Macaca fascicularis: one gene and its partner. The protein of the gene in region 2 binds, or shares a complex with, the protein of the main gene of each other region. Links are inferred from orthologs where the notes say so. Each region holds a gene or a part of one and is shown on either strand. Other genes may lie near its edges.

Region 1 (4,201 bases), on a different chromosome or scaffold from region 2:
GAAGTTTTCTTTCCCTTTCTACCTTATCCAGTCCTAGGTACTAAGGGGCATCTAGGAAAGGGTAAATTGTACTGCAAAGGGGGCTTCAGTCCTGCGGTAACTATTGCCTACCTGCAGTCAGACACCTTAATGACTATTTGGGTTTCTGCCATTACCTAGTGAACTTTTAACCTGAAAGCTGCCAAAAGAAAACTATAAATTAAATAGCTTTCTGAAAAAGACGGTTTAGCAAAATAATTTTAAGGTGTCTCAGAAGTTGCTTCTTTTTTCCTGCACCTCAGCGCCTAGGATCCGCCTTTTCCTCCCCTACTCGCCTAAGAGCTTCAGAGAGAAACTGGCCCAATTACAAAGCAAACCAGAAACCTTTGTAATACTTCCGTGTTCAGCTCACATTGTCTTCAGCCTTTACTTGCAGTTATCACGTATCTGCATGGTAAAAATTTTACAAGAAAACGGGGGGCGGGGGTGATGGTGGAGAAAGCTCCAAACAGAAGGAAGTTGCAAAAGGGTGCTCTTTTGTGCTCAGGGTGGGCCGTCACCACACGAAGTCCCAGATCAACATCACGATCAACTTGGAAATCTGCACACGGAAACGAAAGAGCTGTACACTTACAGTACTTTCAGTTTATGTTAGTGTTATCTGACACTAAATGAGCTAATGATCTAGTATGTGCCCATAGCACTCAACTTCTGGTACCTATTGTTACTACCTATAATTTCCAAGTATTTCCTCTGCAGTACTAACATAACATTAAAGATTGGTAGTATGGTGCTGAGAAATCCAATAATCCCCCTTTTGAATGAAATTACAACTCATTTACTGAAAACATGCGTGGCTCTTAAAAGAGCCTTTGGGATTAGGTGTAAAGATGCTTACTTGGCAAAGTTACTTGGAACTGGTGTACTTGGTGACGGCCTTGGTGCCCTCCGACACGGCGTGCTTGGCCAGCTCCCCCGGAAGCAGCAGGCGCACGGCCGTCTGGATCTCCCTGGAAGTGATGGTCGAGCGCTTGTTGTAGTGCGCCAGGCGGGAAGCCTCGCCGGCGATGCGCTCGAAGATGTCGTTGACGAAGGAATTCATGATCCCCATAGCCTTGGAAGAGATGCCGGTGTCGGGGTGGACCTGCTTCAGCACCTTGTACACATACACGGAATAGCTCTCTTTGCGGCTGCGCTTGCGCTTCTTCCCGTCCTTCTTCTGCGCCTTAGTCACCGCCTTCTTGGAGCCCTTCTTTGGGGCAGGAGCAGACTTGGTAGGCTCAGGCATAGCAACGTTAATAATTACAACACTGTCGCAAACACCTGAGAAAATAATCACTCCCACCGATGCCCCGTTCATTTATAGATGCGGTATTCAAATGAGGTTAATCAGATTTCGTTTATGATTGGATTAATTTTTGTGTGTCGTCACAAATGCCAATGTAAACGACACTTAAAAGTCTACCTTTTCATTGGCTATTTCATTACTTTACTTTTACCCAATCAGAAAGCCCAGACCAGACTACCCGAGGCTACTATAAATAGTCGTCTTTAGACAAGTCAGCTGTGCACTTCTCTTGGAGCAGTTGTTTTTGAGATCACACTTTTTATTAGCGTTGTGGTGTCAGAACGTATACTGAAAGATACTTTAGGAGAGCTCACGTTCTCTTTTCTTCCTCTAACAAATTATAGGACTCGTTGCATACAGAAGTCATGGTAATTGGGATATCCCTGGAAGTCTGGCAGTTTTGCGTTTGGGAAGTCCTTCATCTATGCAAATGCTACATTTAAGGACCACGTATTTTCTGCAGTGTCAATTTCTAATTTTTAGTTGTGGCAGTGGTTGAAATAGTGTACTATGCCACCTGTGTCGAGACGTACTCCTCTGCACTCCATTGCTTGCCATAGTCTGTAGGGAGCCAGCACGGAAATTGAGTGTTCTCTATTCGGAACTCATACGTCCCAGCCTAGAAGCCCGGGAAAATCCCGACTTTTTTTCCCATGCTATTTGCAGGCCAGATCTCGCTAAGTGTTAAGTACTACGGAGGTCGAAATGGGTTTTAACTCCAGTATTCGAAAACGCAATAAAAGCTCAATGACGCGGCTGCACTCCTGCTTGGCCGACGGAACGAGAAATGACCCCCTGGCCAAAAACGGCTCCTCTCTCCCGACTTTGTTCCCGGGAGACCCGCCCCTCAATAGCGGCGTTTTCCCGGCCACACCCCCTGATAGTGTAACAGCTCTTTTACTGAAAGCGGTGGGTGGCTCTGAAAAGAGCCTTTGGGTTGTGTTGAGCTTCTAAGCAGTTGGCCAAAGGAACTTCCTACTTTTTCTTGGCTGCCGCCTTCTTTGGCTTGGCTGCCTTGGGCTTGGCGGTCTTTGGTTTAGCCGCCTTGGGTTTCACTGCTTTGGCCTTCGCTGGGCTCTTGGGCGCTTTTTTTGGCTTGGCTGCTTTAGCCTTTTTCGGGCTTTTCGCTTTTTTGGCTCCAGCAGCCGCAGCCGGCTTCTTCGCCTTCTTTGGGGTCTTCTTGGCGCTCTTCTTAGGGGTGGCTGCCCCCGTCGCCTTCTTGGGCTTCTTCGCCGCTCCTGTAGGCTTCTTGGCTTTGGCCGCGCCTGCCTTTTTAGCTTTAGGCTTGGCTTCCCCGGAGGCCGCCTTCTTGTTGAGTTTGAAAGAACCCGATGCGCCGGTGCCCTTGGTCTGCACCAGAGTGCCCTTGCTCACCAGGCTCTTGAGACCCAGCTTGATGCGGCTGTTGTTCTTCTCCACGTCATAGCCAGCGGCTGCCAGCGCTTTCTTGAGAGCGGCCAAAGATACACCGCTGCGCTCCTTGGAGGCGGCAACAGCCTTAGTAATGAGCTCGGACACGGGGGGCCCAGACGCTTTGCGCTTAGCCGCACCTGCGGACTTGCGAGCCTTCTTCTTCACGGGTGTTTTCTCGGCAGGGGCCGGAGCAGCGGGCGCGGCAGGCGCAGTCTCGGACATGTTGAAGGCAGGCGTGAGAGAGAGAGCAATTCGAGCCGGAAGCAGAGGCACTGGCCGGGACTCGGGCCGCGGCGCTGCGCCCGCCCGTTTATATAGGGCGGAGCTGCGCCGTGATTGGTGCGCTGTCCAGCCCGCCTCGCTGGCAGCCGCAGAGTGTCCTCTCGGATCCCGAGTTGTGTTTGTTACACCTCAAAAAAAGCCAAAAATATAAAAATTGTCTGCACCGAACTACCCGGTTTTTCTCAGATAATGATCCCCGAACCCTCAGGCTTCACGCAGATCTCAAATTATGAGGAAAGCACAAAGCCTTGTGCCAAAAACTTGCAATATTTCCCGCCGTGCTTGGCAAATTTCAACTCAGAGAAACAAAACTTTCTATTTTCTTCGTAAATTATAAACCGATCTTTAACTGTGGAGTTTTCTGACCTCTCAAATATGATTCTCCAAGTGGTTAGCTTCTGATATATCCAAAAAGCATGCCACTGGCATTAAGATTTTTATTACAAATCTGCACTTAAGTGAGGGAAGTAACACAGGCTCCTCGGAGAGTCCTGCCTATTGAGCCGAGGGCATTTGAGTTCATCAAACTGGTTTAGTTTAATGCTAAACAAATTATTCCTCATTTGACATTAAGTTTTGGACCCCTGGGACATCAATCTATGCAGCCGTGGTTTTACATCTGTCCGCTATATCTGAGTTTTAAAACAATTCCTTTGGATAATTCTTTCCCTTTCTGCTCCCAAGGGTTGGGGGCGGGGCTGTTGCTTCTCTCTTCTCTGGACAACTGCTCCATGGATTGAGATACCTTGAATTCAGGGTATTTGGGAACGAAGGGAAGTCCAAAATATACTCAGGGTACAGAGTTGAAAAAAGATTAATTTTCGAATGTGATGTTCATAAAGTCACTGGAAGTGGAGGTGCACTTTTCTTTAAAGCATTTGTCTGCAGCCTTGCTGAGTGCTTTTGGCATATGCTTCAGAACCAAATTGCAATAAAGTAGCTTAGAGCTGGAATTCAAACATTGATAATAAGGGAAAATAAATAAGAACTGTATATTGAAACATATGTACTCCCATTATTAGAGAAGCCCAGCCGCTATTATTACTGAATAGTTGAGGAATGACTAGTCCACTCACCATGTATGGTTTCAATCCCCCTGAAGACTGTATCCCAACGCTTCGCAGAGCGCAATAGAAAGAAAAATAAGTGACATGTAGTGATTAAATGACAAGTTCAAAT
Region 2 (3,808 bases):
CAGAAGGAACTTGGGAGGGGTAGAAGCAAGGGCCCGATATGTGAGGAGGGACTGGGAGGCAAGACTGCTGAGCTCAGCTGTGTGCTTCATACTCTGGGGCATCTATGGATTCACTGATAGATCTCTTTGGGTCCAGCTCTAGGATGCCAGGAAGGCATTCACAGCAGCAGGTGCCAGGGGACAAGCTCAGTCTCAGCTGGGACCTGCACAGCATGGCAGGTAGATAAGTGGTCCTTAACTTGATCTGGTGGTTAAAGTAGCATGGCTACTGCTGAGGCTGGCAGGGCCCCCGATTCATGCTTGCTGAAAATAGAACCTCAGACCAACACACTTTGGATTAGGAACTCGCTAAATCTTTCCATTGACAAAAAGCAAAACCAAAGCCTTTGCCTATGAGGGGAGTGAATGGCTGGGTTCTTACTATAAGCAGATCTACTAAGTAGGAGTTTCACAAATGGCATAGGCTCTGGGGTTGACATCTTTCTGGGCCTCATCCTTGGAATGGGGATGCAAGTGCCATCCAGCAGATATTTGCAATCAGTATAGTTTGCCAAGGGAAGTATGTGGATATAAGTTCTTCCTGGAGGGACCCTGAGCCAGGAATCACACAGGTGGGGCTCCAGCCATGTAACAGTGCTGTAGTTCAGGTGACCTGCTAACAGGTACCACAAGAGGCAATTAGTGCTGGCCTATTAGGAGCATCTGCTCTGGGTACACTCCCCGGGTGGGGTCACTGCACGGTGTAGCACATAAGGGAGCCCACAGTAGCAGCCTAGCTGCTAACATTTCAGTGCTTTTTTTTTTTTTTTTTTTTTTTTTTTTAAAAAAAGATGGAGTCTCAGTCTGTTACCCAGGCTGGAGTGCAGTGGTGTGATCTCGGCTCACCGCAACCTCTGCCTCCCCAGTTCAAGCGATTCTCCTGCCTCAGCCTCCCAAATAGCTGGGACTACAGGCATGTGCCACCACGCCCAGCTAATTTTTGTATTTTTAGTAGAGATGGGGTTTCACCATGTTGGCCAGGCTGGTCTCAAACTCCTGACCTCTGGTGATCCACCTGCCTTGGCCTCCCGAAGTGCTGGGATTACAGGCGTGAGCCACCTCGCCTGGCCTCTCTGCATTTTATTACCACTTGCTTTGGGAAGATTGAAATCCCAGTTGCCTCTTACCTTGCTCCCTTTTCTCAGCTGTCCCCTAGGGGTCTTTGTATGATGCTGCTGTGAGAAATTGAATTTGAGTCATTAGAGGTAACTTCAATTAGCAGCTCCGGGATAATGGCTGTGCACCCGGGAGCTGTAGCCATAGTCAGATCGGTAAGAGAGCCAGCTTTCTGCTGATAGAGCAGGTGGAAGGCTAAGAGCACAGGCATGTGCTCACTGAGGTGTACACTTGTTCTTTCCCCTTAGGTTGAGTTTGGAGGCTTTACTCAGAATTGTGGAAATGCTTCAGATTTAGCCCCCCAGAAGCAGAGGACCAAGCCATTGATTCCGGAAATGTGTTTCACTTCGACTGGCTGCAGCACGGACATCAACCTTTCTACTCCCTACCTTGAGGAGGATGGCACCAGCATACTGGTTTCCTGCAAGAAGTGCAGCGTCCGGGTCCATGCCAGTGAGTGCTGCTCACCTTTCTGTGTGTCCTGTCCCAAGAGTATGGGCCTGCCCGCTGGACGTTCTTGCTACCTCCTGGCCTCCCGGCCCCTAAAAGATTGTTGATGTTTTATTGGGAGAGTCTGTTGCTAGTGGATTTTTTCTGTGTCTCCAGGGGTCCATACTGGCACTAGGCATCTCTGTGCCATCCTCTTGGTTGCAGATAGCAGAAAGGGATTAGTCCCTGCCACTTACTAGGTGTTTGTACCAGTGAATCTACAGTTTCTGACTTTTTGAGACTTTGAGCCATACTATATGCCTGAGCCCTGGGGACTCAGACTAAAGAAAACTAAGGGGTTTCTGTGAGATTTGGTTGTAGCTTTGGGAGGTGGTATATGGAAAGGAATTGCAAATCTCCCTTTTGACTCTGACCATTGGGTTTAATTTGCTCATCTTGGTGTCCCTGTTAGGTTGCTATGGGGTCCCCCCTGCAAAGGCTTCTGAAGACTGGATGTGTTCTCGCTGTTCAGCCAATGCCCTAGAGGAGGTGAGTGATCCCACATGGTTACTGTCTTCACCGTAAGTCTTGGTGCATATTCAGGGCTGTACGATTTCATGTCAGACTCAGTATTCCCAGCAGTCTGCATAGGGTCTGGTACGCGGCGATGTCAGAGAGCAAGTATTGTGAGAGTAAATCCTATGACAGTGAGAGCGGTTGCTGCCCACTTAACGGAGTCTGGACGCTGTGTTAGCTCCATTATGTGAAGACCAACTAGTGGTCTTCCTGTAGGAAGAACAATAACTCCCTTAAAAGAATTTAGCCATTTTGAGTTGGAGCCTCAGAAAGGGGCTCAGATGATTCATTGTGCAGTTTTCTCTTCACTGTACCCCTGGAACCTGGCTGTACCTAGCCCACAAAAGAAGCAGTCAGATCCCTGTCGTGCCTCTAGTTTGAGCAAAGTATCTTTCATGACTTTGCTAAGAGTTGTTATTAGCAGTAAACAGTGAGGAGGATTATATGAAGTCATGCGAATACTTGGCACACTTTAGCCCTGAGTGGCCTCTCCTTCCGACAGGGCGTCCTGGTGCAGGGGCTGCCTGGGTGAAGCCCCACATGCTATTATGCTGCTTTCTTATGTGGAGGAGTTGCCCAAAGCAGGTCCAGGGGAGAGCAGATTGAATGTTAATGACTTGGTGTTAACCACTTTTTCCTCCCTCTCCTTTCTTGGCAGGACTGCTGTTTATGCTCATTACGAGGAGGGGCCCTGCAGAGAGCAAATGATGACAGGTAAGTTTCCTGAGCAGTGCCTTGGAATGCACAGGCTCAAGTTCTGAAGCACACAGTGTCTTTGTGAGGGCACTAGCTGTTCTTCTGAATGACTGATGAGGATTTGGGAAGCACATCGTGTGGAGCTGGAATAGCATCTCCAAGACTCATTTTAAAAATGGAATGCTAAGGGAGCCAAGCAGTCTCAGACTTTCCAACTCTAGCTGCTCCTCTGCAGCAGAGATGTCAGTGACATCCTCCTTTGGAGGCGCTAAGAATGGACTCATGAGAATATGAAGGCTGTGAAGGTGATGCGCAGGGACTGTGTGGGCTGGAGTGAGGACATTCACCTTGTCACAGCTGGCGCTGGTGCGCAGAGGCGGCCACAGGCTAGCAAGCACTTCTCCACGTGGCAAACTCCCTGGCTCAGACCTGGTATTTGGAATGAGGCGAGTGTGCTCAAGGGCGACACTGAGGAGAGCTCAGACAGGCCCACCCACTATGGAACCAAATCTACTGAAGTTTCTGGGCTTCTCAGCTGTTGGACAGCTCATTTTTATGGAGTGAATCTTTGTGCTTAGACATGTGCTTGGTTGCTCTGAGGTGGAAATGTAAGATGAATGAGGTTTCTGACCTGGAAGAGCTGGCTGTTTAGGGCATGGTGCATGCAGGTCAGTGCTGAGTATCCTGCTTTTAAGTAGAATCCCGTGGCAACTTGCAGCACATGTTCAGTCCAGCCGCCTGCCCTCAAGAGTCCCTGTCATGCTGTCCCTGAGAGATGGCTACTCTGCTTGCTGCTTCTGCTCCTTCAGAGGCACTTGCTGCCATTATTTGAGGTCATTGTGTTCCTCACAATCACAGGATAGTGCTGGGAACATTCTTACTTGGAGTGGAAATGGCTCTGCTTGAACCTCTCACCTTTCCTCTGAATGCCTGTTCTTCCCTCCAGGGCCAC

The links.
Region 1: the proteins of KDM4A (region 2) and H1-4 are in contact, whole or in part, in a crystal structure (PDB 6H8P), measured with the Homo sapiens proteins. The link is inferred for Macaca fascicularis from reciprocal best matches to the Homo sapiens genes KDM4A and H1-4. Residues at the interface, in NP_055478.2 of Homo sapiens: Ile71, Asn86, Ala134, Asp135, Asn137, Thr167, Ile168, Glu169, Gly170, Val171, Tyr175, Tyr177, Glu190, Asp191, Ser196, His240, Lys241, Ser288, Thr289, Asn290, Asp311, Met312, Val313; in NP_005312.1 of Homo sapiens: Ala24, Arg25, Lys26, Ser27, Ala28, Gly29.

The regions. Positions count from the first base shown.
Region 1 is NC_088378.1:146,774,564-146,778,764, forward strand, and holds the start of H1-4 (histone H1.4), read right to left. Parts: upstream 3,026-4,201; 5' UTR 2,963-3,025; coding exon 2,303-2,962; 3' UTR 1,268-2,302; coding exon of another isoform or gene 887-1,267; 3' UTR 878-886; intron 581-877; exon of another isoform or gene 1-580. Other genes in the region: histone H2B type 1-M, read right to left, coding at 887-1,267. UniProt on the Homo sapiens protein: Histone H1 protein binds to linker DNA between nucleosomes forming the macromolecular structure known as the chromatin fiber. Histones H1 are necessary for the condensation of nucleosome chains into higher-order structured fibers.
Region 2 is NC_088375.1:191,079,304-191,083,111, reverse strand, and holds part of KDM4A (lysine-specific demethylase 4A), read left to right. Parts: intron 1-1,403; coding exon 1,404-1,608; intron 1,609-2,056; coding exon 2,057-2,133; intron 2,134-2,818; coding exon 2,819-2,874; intron 2,875-3,808. UniProt on the Homo sapiens protein: Histone demethylase that specifically demethylates 'Lys-9' and 'Lys-36' residues of histone H3, thereby playing a central role in histone code. Does not demethylate histone H3 'Lys-4', H3 'Lys-27' nor H4 'Lys-20'.